2 linked regions of the Medicago truncatula genome follow. The protein of the gene in region 1 interacts with the protein of each later gene in a pairwise test. Links are inferred from orthologs where the notes say so. Each region holds a gene or a part of one and is shown on either strand. Other genes may lie near its edges. The genes, in order: cell division topological specificity factor homolog, chloroplastic; putative septum site-determining protein minD homolog, chloroplastic.

Region 1 (7,559 bases):
ATTTTCTTTTAATAATATAAGAATGGGAATAGGAAATGAAATTATGAAGGAATCTCAAAGTTAAGCGCTGCATCAAGACTCAATATTTATTATTTAATGAATTTAAAGAAATTTCTGCAGTAGTACATATATGCGCCCTAATCTCTTGCAACTAATGTGGGATAATAGCAGCACACAGATTATCGTGCTCAACCTCTTGTTGCTTTTCTCATTGTAAATTAATGGACGGGGAGAGAGAAGGATAATGGGTCTAAAAAAATTTAGTATTAAGGGTATATGATAATACTATGATCTTCAAAAATGGTTGCCATCTATTTTACAAAAAAAAAATAAAAAAAAATAAAAAATCATGTCTCCTACGGTAGGAGATCTAAAGAGGTCTCCTACCATAGCCTTTGTCTTATTCTCATATGTCATTGTTCTACCGTGAAATAGCGTTGCTTGTGTAGTATTTTTGTTTAATTGAAATCATAGATTTGAAAGTTATTTATGTAAATCTGTCTTGGGAATCATTGAATTGTTGATTTGTAAAGATATTGCACAACACAACTTATTGTTTCGAGTAATTATTGATTAATAGTATATGTAGTTCTTCTTTGCCTAAAATCGTTGAAACAGAGACTATGTGCACGCATAACATTGCAAATCAAAATAAGCGGTAATAAGTGGAAGATTTAATTGAACCCTCTACCCAACTTTATTGTTACTATTTTCTTCCCCTAAATTTTTTATTATTTTCTTATTTTTCAATGCAGATAACATTGTAAATGCGCTTTGACGCATAACTCGCGTTTCGACGTCTAACTTGTATAGAGCATGGACCCGTGATTAGCACGAGTTTGTTGCTACTAGACATAAAATATTTAACTTTTTTTTAAAAGATAGAAATTTTAAAAAAAAATTAAGTTAAATGAAAAATATATCTTAACCTTCAATATTATTTATGTGTCCTTGTTCATTTTTTGTGTGTCAATTAGTAATTTTTTTTGACAAAGGAGTGGATGCAAATAGGAGAGATTGAAATATGTAATACAATCACGTGGACTTATTTGTCTTGAAAATTGCTTTTCTGACATAAAAAATATTAATAACACATGGAAAATTCGAAAATACATTAGCGGTAGTTAACTACGGTTGTGTTTGTTCCGGGAATGCAACAACTTACATTCAACCTTTTTTTTTCTATCATTCAACCTCTTCTTTCAACATTTTTTTAATTAAACCCCCTATTAATACTCTCCCAACCTTCACCATTTCCTCATACCATCATCTCACATTCTCTCCTCCTCACTCTCCTTCCTCCTCTTCCTTCTACAACAACTAGAGCTGTCAAAACGGGCGACCCGGCCCTAATGGGCTTCGGGCTTTATCGGACCGGGCCAAAAAGCCCGGTTGAAAAAACGGGCTTGAAATATACTACCCAAGTCCGGCCCTACACGGGCAGGCCCGTATTAATTTTATTTTATTTATTTTTTTTATAAAAAAATTACTATAAAATACTCATATAATTTTTTTTTATAAATAATATTTTTAATATGTTTAAATAATTCCTAGAACAAAAATAAATTGTAAACATTTTTGTACAAACGTCGTAAACTAAAACGGCGAGGAAAACAATTTTAAATAAATTAGATACGTTATGGTTATAGATATTTATATTTTCGATCTTTAAAATTATAAATAACGAAACAGGTAAATATAATTTTATATTACATGTATATTTGTGTTAATTCATTGAATTTTCACTTTTATTTATTACTTTGATAATCAACTAAGTAAAGAATTATTTGCAAAATATATAACATTTATAGGTTTTTATTTGTTATGCGGGCTAGCGGGCTACCCTCGGCCCGTTCGGGCTAGCCCTAACGGGTAGCGGGCTTTTTAGGGCCGGGCTAAAAAACCATATTAAAATTCGGGCTCAATATTTAAGACCCAAGCCCTATAATTAATCGGGCTAAACGGGCCGGCCCACACGGCCCGGCCCGTTTTGACAGCTCTAACAACAACAATGTTGTTTTTTTCATCCTTGGCCTTTCATTGAAAGAGGCATCTTTGAAAATTTGAAAATTTCAAGAGGTTTCTTTGAATTGGTTTTACCCCAGGATTTAGGGTTTATGGTTTGTGATTTTTTTTTTTGTTTTAACCCAAGTGGAGGTTAAACAATAAGAGTGCAGAGGTGAGGCACAATTCGAGAATTGATGTTGTCATGTAGCAGTGCCATGAGGAACAATTGATGGGTCTTCTTGATGTTGTCTTGTATGAGTATCTTGGAGAAGAGTATCCGGAAGTTCTAGGTTCAATTTGAGGTGTTCTCTAAGATTCTTTTTATATCGTTTTCTGGTGGTTTTTTTTAACTCAGATTTAGTTTTACCCCATCATGAATGTATCATAATATTAATAAAATGAGATTTTATACCTATTACTTTTGTTCCTTTATTTTTGCATTTATTTTATGATTGTATATGGAATAAATAAATCCGAATAAAAATTGTGTATTAAAAAATAAATAAATTCAAAAAAAGACTAATTAAACACAACGTGAATTCGAATAAAAATTGCGTATTAAATAAATTCGAATAAAGTTGCATATTAAATAAATTCGAATAAAAGTTACATTACATTACATTACATAAAGTTCCTAAATATGTCCTATCATTACATTACATCCGGGTAGAGATATGTGGTGCAACAACTGTCTTACCTCTGAAATTGGACAAATTCAAACCTGCTAAACAACAGCTCTCAAGCATTCACCTGGAAGTTTTATTGTCTCATTCAAAAGATTAAATTCTTGTTAGTTTGTTGAAGATGTTGGTATTGAAGTGTCAAAAGATTAAGAGAACACAACATGTATCACGCAGAATCAGCTACATATGTTATCACATCGATTTCCCTCATATAAGACGAGTAATCACATAGAGAATGAGGTGCATTCTGTGACACTCATCTTATATGAAGGAATTCAATATCATAACTTATATAGCTGATTCTGCATAATACATGGTCTCTTAATATTTTGACACTCCAATACCAACATCTTCAACAAACTAACAAGAACTTAATCTTTTGAAAGGCACAATAAAACTTTCGGGTGAATGCTTGAGAGCTGTTGTTTAACAGGTTGACCTTATCCAATTTCACAAGTAAGACAATTGTTGTAGTTGGAAGGTGCATTCCCTACCTAATCACGATCTTCTGGCGGAATCAAACTGTTGAGAATATCTTCAGTTGATCTCTGCAACGTGACAAACATATCGATCATCGGAACCATGTTGTGCTGCCAAAAAATCGAGAACATACTCCTCACGTCGTCGCCGTTCTTTAACTCTAGCAGAATGAACGTTATTCTCCCGTCGTCCAACGTTAAACGTTCATACCAAATGTATTTCACCCTTCTCGTGTCTCCGGGGTTGAGTCTTTGGTTGATTTCATCTAGTTGATCCTTGAGACCTTTTAACGTGACATTAATGTACCGAACCTTGAACATCTAAGGATTTCCACCGTTGAAGCGTATGCAAACACTGAAAAAATCGGCCATTGTTTCAAACATACCTATACAATAAAAAAATTAAACAATCAATGAAAAATTCATTCAAACATTTCATCAAACATTTGGAGTGCAAATTATACACAAACCCTAAAAAACCCAATTTTTTTTATAAAACTTGAAAAAAAAAATATAAATTTAAGCAATATAACTCGATTATAACAAATATTCATAATATTTGTTAATAGCATTTCAGATCTATAACATAACGCTATTAAAAAAATAAATCAAAATTTAAAAATTAAACTACAACTAAAATTATAAACATATATACCAACTAAAATTTATGATAATAGCCTAAATGATTACTTAATTGTGATTTAGTGGCAAAAATTTGGATGATTTGGTAGAGTTTTTTTAAAGAGAGAGAGTGAAAATTGAAATTTTTAGAGAGAGAGAGTATTGAAAGGGTGGCTGGAAGCTGGGTCCTGACTTGAATATGTAACGAACGCAGCGGTAGTTAACTGTTGCTAGATATACCAATGGTAATTAACTATGCTGGGGGCAATTTTGTGTTTACCATGTGTTATTAGGAACTAATAGATGTTAGGAAGGACGTAGTGCACATGTGAGAGACTTAGGTGAGTCATCCATTCTAGAATTCACGGTATTCTATAATGGGATAATAGTCCCTAATGTTAAAATGTTTCATTAATATTGTTATATTAATTCTTCAATACACTTACTTATTATCATATCGGTCTTTATAAGTACTCACTCATTGTCATTTTTAGTATTTATATGAAAAGAGTTATTTTGAATATTGATATATTATTTTAGCGTCAAGACTATTTCAACTAAAAGTGTGTTGCGTGCACAATTAAGAATTATTTTAAATTTTGAAACATTGATGAACTATTGCAATTACTTGTTGAGGGGACATAAATGACTATTAAGTATTATCCCATTATTTAATCTTTACTTTTTATTTTTATTTTTTTTGAGAGGACAGTGCCCAACTCTTTTGGAAAACGGTAAAACGACGACGTACTGAAGTGGTGATTGAGGGGCAAATAGGGTACACTACTTGCAACAACAGTGAACAGAAGCACTGAAAATCCGTTGGGAAATCCGAAGCTATCAACAATGGCGATTTCCGGCGACATTAGAGTCACTGCAACTCTTCCACTCCATCGCTCACACCCTCTTCTTCCAACCACTTCTTTTATTCCTCCAAAGGTATCGTTCCTTTTCTTTTTCTCTAATTAGGGTTTCAATTTTAATTTTTAATTCGAGCTTATATTTTTACTTTCAAATTGATGGCGCTGTTTTAGATTTTACTGTGTAGTGTTAATTATTAAGAATGTGTAATAGAAAAAATGAAAATTAATGTTTGTGTTGTTTTAATAGTGGTGTTGAAGAAGAAAATTCGACTCTTTTACTTTAATTTCTAGTTCAGAAATGTTGGAATTTATGTATGTATTTAGTTTGGTTTGGCAATTAGCATGATATTCTATGAAGCAACAACTTAGACACCAGACACCAGAATGTCAACACCGATAATAATTTGAGAAAATGACATAATTTAAGTTAATTATAATTATATGCGTCGGTGTCAGATTCAATATATTCAATATGTATCTGACACCGGGACATCCTAATCCAAGGAGTATTTGTGCTTCATTATGTTTTAAATTGTGATTACATTAATTGAAATTTTGGATAAATGTTGCTCATTAAACCATATTTTAAGCTTATATTTATGGCGAGTTTGGAGAAATTATCGTGGGACTGTGATTTTTGTTGAAACTTCAAAGTGTAGTTTTTGTTAAAATTTTGGTAGCGGATTGTTATTCTGTTAAACTCACTATCAATTCAAACATGTACTGAAACCGTGGTGCTTTTTGTTATAGATGTATTTTCGGATGACAGAAGTCCTTGAAAATTATATCACATGTTTGAGTAATAAAATGAAGGGGAATGAGGTCTCATAGTTTTAATGAGCTGTTATGTTATTGTCTACAGTTTATAAGGATTGTTGATTTACCACAATTCATTACTCACTATGTCCAATAATAATTGGCCTATTTGCAAAAGAAATTTGTCCCAGAATAAGTTAGTTTCAAAGGTTGTCCTAAAATAATTGACGCTTTCAATTTTGAAGGTCACATTAATTAAATATACCACTCCCAATTCAATACCTTCTACTTTGCATCAACGGCGATGATAAATACACCTATACATGATAAGGATAATACAATATAAGTACTATTCTTTGTCTTTAATTTATACATTTTGTTGATTTGTGCGAAATAGTCAAACATGTCATATTTTATGGGGGGAGAGTGATTTGCAACTCTATTTCGTGTCCCTCTAGACCAAAGTATCAGTGGAGTGCATAATTGTTTTTCCACTATATTCCATTTGATTGGAAATATGTGTTATCTATTGTTATAAAGTTTTTGCCTTAGAGAAATTGGAGAAAATATATGTGTAGCATTTTTCCATTTTGTGCTGACCAGTTGCTAAAAGAGGATGTGATACAGCTGTTTTCCTTTTTGATATTCAGTATAGTGGAAAAGGTTGTATAAAATGATCTTTTATCATATTTATCGTTGAGATATTTAATTTAGATGCTTGTGGCTGGACTTCTTAAATGTTACATTTTTTATAGATGCGAAAGTTTACTTAAAATCCTTACAAGATTTACAAAATGTTGAAAATGCCTTGTTAATCTCTTAATTTTTCTGTCTAACAGGTCGATTTTCATTGTTTCTTAAATGGAGGGTCCTGCATATCTGGATTCACCCCAAAACGTTCCACCATGACAACTGTACGAAGCAATATGCGTGGCTATCACAAGCCTGTTTTTGCAGTCCTTGGAGGTTCTAATTTTTCATCAAAGTCAGGTAGCCAAGAAGCCGAGAACTTTCTCCTTGATGCTGTTAATATGAGTTTCTTTGAGCGTTTAAATTTGGCTTGGAAGATAGTTTTCCCATCAGCAGTGTCTAAGAAAAGCTCTGTTGCTAGGATTGCCAAGCAACGTTTGAAGATGATTTTGTTCTCTGATCGATGTGAAGTAAGTGATGAGGCAAAGCAAAAAATAGTTAGCAACATTGTGCGTGCTCTATCAGATTTTGTGGAAATAGAATCACAAGATAAAGTTCAGTTGAGTGTCTCTGCAGATACAGATATTGGAACCATTTACTCTGTTACAGTGCCCGTACGGCGGGTTAAACCAGAATATCAAGTGGTGGATGAAACTGGGACAATAACAAATATTGAGTATAAGGACACCGGAGATATTTCAGGTTCTGTTGATGTTAGATTTGATTTCTATGTTCAGGATGAAACGTCTTGATTTTGAAATAAAAGGTCTTGAATGTTGACTTCTTTGCCAGAAGGCAGTGTTTGAAACCCTTACCGATGAAGCCAATTTGGAGTGCTGTATATATATTTGCAAATTGAAGCTTCCGTTAGGGTGGGTGACTCGATTTTAATGAGAAATTTTGTAACACCTTTTATCTGTTAGTCTGGTTTGATGCACTGTTTTTAACTTTATGATAGGATTTTGTTGCTTGTTGTATGAATCATTATTATAAATGGAGTTTGTAGTTCATTCTCACTGGCCATTGTAAGGGAGCTGATAGTTTAAGCCTGAGCATATTAGTTAGAATAAAATCATGGATTCTCCCTAGCTAGCCAAAGCCATTGATGCTCCACTCAAACCAAGAAGAATCTATGTGCTTAATCTTGTTTGGGTTAAGCAAACAGCTGCAAAGACCTTGACATTCCTTAAGTAACATTACCATACCTTGTATCTTACAGCGGTTTCCTGAGAGGTCAGTTAGTTGCAAGTTTGCTCTTCGACCTTGCTGAACTCTTCGAATCTGGCACCAACTTTCGAGAGGAGCAAAAAACTAAACAAGCCCAGGAGCCATGTGATCTATATTTGCCCTATGAAGAAAAATGGAAGAGCTGAGAAGAAAAACTCATATGTTGTATCTATATCAATTCGTTCAGAATGAAGGATATCTTAACAGAACGATCGCTTAATCTATGTGTATAA
Region 2 (6,059 bases), on another chromosome or scaffold:
GATATAATTTGATGATGTGCCCATGCCCATTTTATGTCAAGTGACTGAAGTTTTAGCAGCAATCCAGCATGTGAATTATTGCTTCTGTACGTTTCTTTTTAGCTTTCCCTGTGTATTCTTACAACTTTCATTTCATCACAGGTTGGGTTAATAGGTTTGCTAATGCTGGTGATACTGCCATGGAAGTTGCTGGGAATACGGCATTACGGGTAAGTTATAAATTTCAAAATGCTTTTATGCGGTGTTAAATATTTCCTTGAATTGTGTCATTGGAGCCTGGATTTTCTTGTGTTTTTGGCTTTAAATACTTCAAATTCTGTGGCTATTGATTATTTGCTATGGAGCTTAGATACTCCAAAATTGCTAAAGAATCGGTTTCATCTGATACCAACATGCCTTCCATACTCCTCAAGGTGTATCCAAAGGGTGCCCTCTAAATATTTTCATATTTCAAAAGAAAATCATTGACTGATTTATTTTTGGGAGACACGCCTTTTCGATACTTATGATATTTATATTCAACTTCAAAACTTGTCCGAAATCTTCTTGCACAACGTTATTCTTTGTCATGCTGTGAACAAAAAATTAAGAGTATATTCTTTGTCAAGACTTGCTTTAAAAAGGACTAATGAACTATGTAAAGTATGTATATTTTTTTATAAGCTTTTGAAGTACCTAGGTCATATATCCTCCTATCTATGTATATTTTGCATGTTCTTGTATCCGTATTATTTTGTATCTGTTGTATCAAGTGTATGGGCTTCATAGGTTATTATACCAGTACTGGCATTGTGATATATTTTGAGAAAACCTATGCACTAACTAATAATATGACCTGGTTATTGCAGTTCCGACAAGCGAAAACAGAGATTGTATCAGCAAGCAAAGTAGCATACAGGTTCCTCCTAGGCGTTACAAACAACGTTACTAACAATGTTACAAACAATATCAAAACAGGTCCCGATTCCCCCAACAATTCAAACAGGGGGGAGTCATCCCCAAGATTTCAAGCTTCTTGGTTGAAAAACATGATTACCAATGGTGCAAAACCATCTACTAGTTCAGATGCTGAGAATCACAATGGAGCTGTTCCTTTACAACCAACAAGAGAAGATGACAAGGCTCTGCTACATAGTTCATCTTCGCGTCATGATAGTTGATGGAAAGGAATCTGTGTCAAAAATGTTTAGCGTTACTTTCTGATGTGTATTCTATTATGTTGTAAGTCACAAAAAGGAAACAGAATTTTTTTCATGGTATTCATAGTGTATCAAATGTATAATTTTCATTTGTTGTTCAACTTCAAATCTTAATATTGGTGCCTCCTGAAACTATGTTCAATGAATATCAAAGGTAATTGTGTTGTTTTATCTTTCCTATATGAATATCTGAATTGATCAAACTTTACAATAGTCAAATTCATCATATGATTTTTTTTTTCCTTTCATGTATTCAGCTGCAGTGTACAATGATGGTAGTAACAATTTGGAGTGGATCATTGAAATTTTCATGAAGGTTTTTTTTGTTTTGTTTCTCTTCATGTACATTTGTAAATTTAGATTTAGATTGGTATACTTGTTTATAGTGTTTGGTTTGATATGAGTGCTAACTTCAAATCATGGTCAATGCAAAATCAACAAGTTAATACAATTATGTAACAGTTTGCTAAGTTTTAAACTTCCTTGTAATGGTTAAGATAAATCATTCTCAGAGTGAAAGATTATGTTTAGAGTTTTTTCGTGTATCATTCATTTCATTACTAGATGAAGTTAGAATTCACGGAAAAGGAAATGATGTTTTCAAACAATACTTCAGCAATAACTTATCTTTTCAAATTGAGTACACGTAACTGGTGTAAAGATACTATACGTTCACGGTTCACCAGCCATTTGATAAATTCAAGTTCAACTTTTGTTTTTTCTTGAGTATTAGAATGCATGTTTGGTATCACGGTATGTTTGATAGATAAAATCATGGTGACCTACAAATTTGAAAATTCGAACTTTCACTTATTTTATTAGCAACATGACTAGCAATAGAATAGATTGTGCGCAAGTCGGAAGAAAATTTCAACACTTTGTTCCCAACTCGAAATTTGACGAAAGAACTAGTAATTTTTTCATTGATAATCATATTATAAGGTATGAAGTGGGTGGTAGTTAATCTCAATCGAGAAATTTGTTGGACATACTAGTTGAGTTCTTTCTTTTCAACCTATATTTTTCACTGACAAGAGTTAAAGATAAAACCATTCATCCATGTTTTAGGTGTTTGAATTCCTTACCACTCAGACCAACCACTTTGAGATATAATTGAATTTTTCCTCATTTAAATTAAATCAATTCTTCTTTTTTTTTTTGGTCAAGTTTACTCCTTTTTTATTTTGTACTTTCTCACTCAATTTTGTGATGAGCTGACTTTTTTTAATGATACGACATCCTTGTCATCATATCATATATATTATAATTAAATTAAAACATTTAAAAATATAGAAGTCTTGATCTTACTCTCTATAAATATAGGAGTCTTGTTCTATACGTACAACTCAATTACTCAATTCGGGGATGCACAAACATTTACCGTGTTAGAAAGCGAGTTCAAACCTATAATTTCTCACTCTCACACTTAATGCGTGCAATTCTTGCTATTAGAAACTTACTATTAGAAAATTTGACAAAAAAAAAATAGTCTTCTTCCTTACCAACAGAGTTATATGTTCACATTGACATCTCATAATGAGTTTTAGTATCACTTGTATTTATCTCATTTTTCATCTTAATTAATAAAAGTTCTTCTTGGCAGTTTAAAAAAAGGGATAGGAGTATAAAATAGTTTTCTTGATTGTTTTCTAAATAAAAAGATTATAATTTTTTTCTCTCTCGGGATAATAAATTAATTGTTTTCCAAAATATTATTTTCTATGAAAAAGCATAAAAGTAAGTGAATATATTTTTCATGAAAAACTAAAAGAGCTAATTACAGCTTTGATCCTCTTATTTTCACTCATTCAAATAATTGGTCCCCAATTTTAAAATTAATATGTTTCGGTTCCTCTTTCAATTTTTTTAACTAAAAATTGATGATATATCATATTTAAATTGAAGTTTGTAGATATTTTTATAATAATTTTATAATTGTTGATCATTTCGTATCAAGTCCTATGATACATCTTTTAAAATACGTTACATCACAATTTTTTAGTCTAAAAATATAAAAAAGGATCAAACCTGTGTAATTTTATAACATAAAGACAAATATATTTAAGTAGATTCAAATGAAATAATCAAAAGTATGGTACATATTGACCATGACAAATTCTAACCAATCATAAACAGCGATCTAAACTTGACAAAAATAAGCACAATGACGAAAAAAATGAGTTGCATCCTCTATCGTTATTATTGAAAAGAGAAAAAAAACGACTAAAGAGAACTAAAATTGTAATTAAACAAAATTTAAAACAAGAAAGAGTATATTATAGGTCAAATGCATCTAAAGATTCTTTAAGTTTTTCGTTTTTTCTAAAGTGGTCCTTTAAATTTCAAAAGTTCCAAACAAGTCCTTTTAGTTTTTGAATCGTTTCAAACAAGTCCTATTGTAGATAACATAGTTGGTAATTGCTTCCTTGAACTCATCTTTGGTACTAAATCTGGCTCCTAACATCCACTTAAAATTAGTCATCTTTTTAGGCATGACAAACGGTGAATAATGTTCTTTGTTGCTATCATCTGAATCATCACCATCATCTTCTAAAATGACTTGTTTGAAACGATTCAAAAACTAAAAATACTTGTTTGAGACTTTTGAAACTTAAATGATCACTTTGAAAAAAACGAAAAACTTAAAAGACCTTTAAATGCATTTGACCTATATTATATTATTTTTTTGACAAAGAGTATATTATATTATTAAAACATAAATAAAAATAAAAATAAAAATAAAAAACAAAAAACAATAAAGCAAAGTCGATATCGTAATCAATCAACACAAGTTTGTCTTCTCCTCACTCACTCACTCCCTTCCATCCCACTCTCTCAAAAACCCATTCACAAATGCTATCCCTCTACAACCACCCCACCACCACCACCACCACCACCACCACCAATCTCAAATCCCATTTCCCTTCAATAACCCATCTCCGTCATTCACCCACATTCCCCAAACCCAAACCCAAAACCCTAACAAAATCCCTTCTTCAATGGAACCGCAAACCCCAACTCTCCGGCGAAACCCCCCGTGTCGTAGTAGTCACATCCGGAAAAGGCGGAGTTGGTAAAACAACCACCACCGCTAACATCGGCCTTTCTTTAGCCCGTTTAGGCTTCTCCGTCGTCGCCATTGACGCCGACGTCGGATTACGTAACCTTGACCTTTTATTAGGTCTTGAGAATCGAGTCAATTACACCGTCGTTGAGATTCTCAACGGGGAATGTCGACTCGATCAAGCTTTGGTTAGAGATAAACGTTGGTCTAATTTTGAATTGCTTTGTATTTCTAAACCTAGATCTAAATTGCCTATTGGATTTGGTGGAAAAGCTTTGACTTGGTTGGTTGAAGCTTTAAAAGCCCGGGGAGATAAAACCGGTGGAAATGGAACTGGAACCAATGGTTCTGGTTCCGGTTCCAGTTCCACTGGTTCTGGCTGTCCGGACTTTATCCTGATCGATTGCCCTGCAGGGATTGATGCGGGGTTTATAACGGCGATTACACCGGCTAATGAAGCGGTTTTGATAACAACGCCGGATATAACTGCGTTGAGGGATGCGGATAGAGTGACGGGATTGTTGGAGTGTGATGGGATTAGGGATATTAAGATGATAGTGAATAGGGTTAGGACGGATATGATTAAAGGTGAAGATATGATGTCGGTTTTGGATGTGCAAGAGATGTTGGGTTTGCCGTTGCTTGGTGTTATACCAGAGGATAGTGAGGTTATAAGGAGTACAAATAGAGGGTATCCGCTTGTTTTGAATAAGCCTCCTACTTTGGCTGGTTTGGCTTTTGAACAAGCTGCTTGGAGACTTGTGGAGCAGGATAGTATGCAAGCTGTTATGGTTGAGGAAGAACCGAAAAGAGGGTTTTTCTCGTTTTTTGGTGGTTAATGATCAATTGGGTTGTTTTTTGTTCTTTTATTAGGTGCAAGCAAGTTTGTAATGAATGATTTTCTAGTGTCTGAGGAATATTTTTTGAAGTGAAGTTTGTTTTGAATTGTGTATAGTTGGAATTAGTAAAGCTTGTTTTCCTTTAATATGTTAATTCATGATTTATTGCTATTAATTGTTAGTATTTTGATTTTGGTAATGTAAGGATTAGTTGTATCTGTAAACACTTCAGGTGAAGATTTGTTGCCATTAGTAATACAATGTTGTAGATGGTTTATCATGATATATTATATTGTGGTTGCAATTGTGTTCCAGTCAGCAATCATGGTTTCATGTGGAGGCAGGGTACGTAGTTGCAGAAAGTGATGCAGTCCATTGTAATCACTATGTTATGATACATGCTGAGTCCTATCATGATTTGAAGCAAAACTTAAAACAGATAAGGTACTAGTTGCAGCATAAATATTGATTTCTTTTGCCTTAAATTGTTCATAAGGTTTGATTCATGATTAGAAATTAGGTGTTATAGTTCATGCTTTGAATGTCGATTAAATAACCATGATGCATTTTGCAAGTTAAAACCCTTATTAAATCAATGATCAAATTTAAGTGTGGTAACGGGTGCTCAAATACACGTTCAACAAGATATTACACATTGGAACTGTAGGGTCAATGTGCATTTGTGTATGTTTACTGCTAAAATGTTGTCAATCGTGCTGGGTTTATGAATAATATCATCTGTTGCCATTGTAATATTATGTTCAAGATGGTTCAACCTAGGATTTTAAATTTCGGCTGCAATTGTGGTCTAGCTGTTAGATGCTGTCCACAATTATAACTTAAACCACAGTTAAATCAGTGATGAAGTTTTGCTTTAAGTGCTGCCATTTCGATGGTTCGTTACAGTGATAAAATACTCAGTTTTCTGGTAGTGGATAATGTTTTGTTATGTTTAGG

The links.
Region 2: the proteins of cell division topological specificity factor homolog, chloroplastic (region 1) and putative septum site-determining protein minD homolog, chloroplastic interact in binary tests that used the Arabidopsis thaliana proteins (3 or more experiments, as listed by UniProt). The link is inferred for Medicago truncatula from reciprocal best matches to the Arabidopsis thaliana genes MINE1 and MIND.

What each region holds. Positions count from the first base shown.
Region 1 is NC_053046.1:18,841,239-18,848,797, reverse strand, and holds cell division topological specificity factor homolog, chloroplastic, read left to right. Parts: upstream 1-4,503; 5' UTR 4,504-4,636; coding exon 4,637-4,729; intron 4,730-6,248; coding exon 6,249-6,851; 3' UTR 6,852-7,115; downstream 7,116-7,559. UniProt on the Arabidopsis thaliana protein: Acts as a topological specificity factor during plastid division and specify plastid constriction sites (such as the Z-ring) in a MCD1-dependent manner. Especially involved in epidermal plastids division in a FTSZ1-dependent manner.
Region 2 is NC_053047.1:18,020,550-18,026,608, forward strand, and holds putative septum site-determining protein minD homolog, chloroplastic, read left to right. Parts: upstream 1-3,985; 5' UTR 3,986-4,052; coding exon 4,053-5,102; 3' UTR 5,103-5,382; downstream 5,383-6,059. Other genes in the region: uncharacterized protein, read left to right, coding at 142-209, 849-1,160. UniProt on the Arabidopsis thaliana protein: Together with ARC3 and MCD1, regulates FtsZ ring positioning in chloroplasts in an ARC6-dependent manner. Calcium-dependent ATPase required for the correct placement of the plastid division site. Inhibits FtsZ filament and ring formation in the plastid.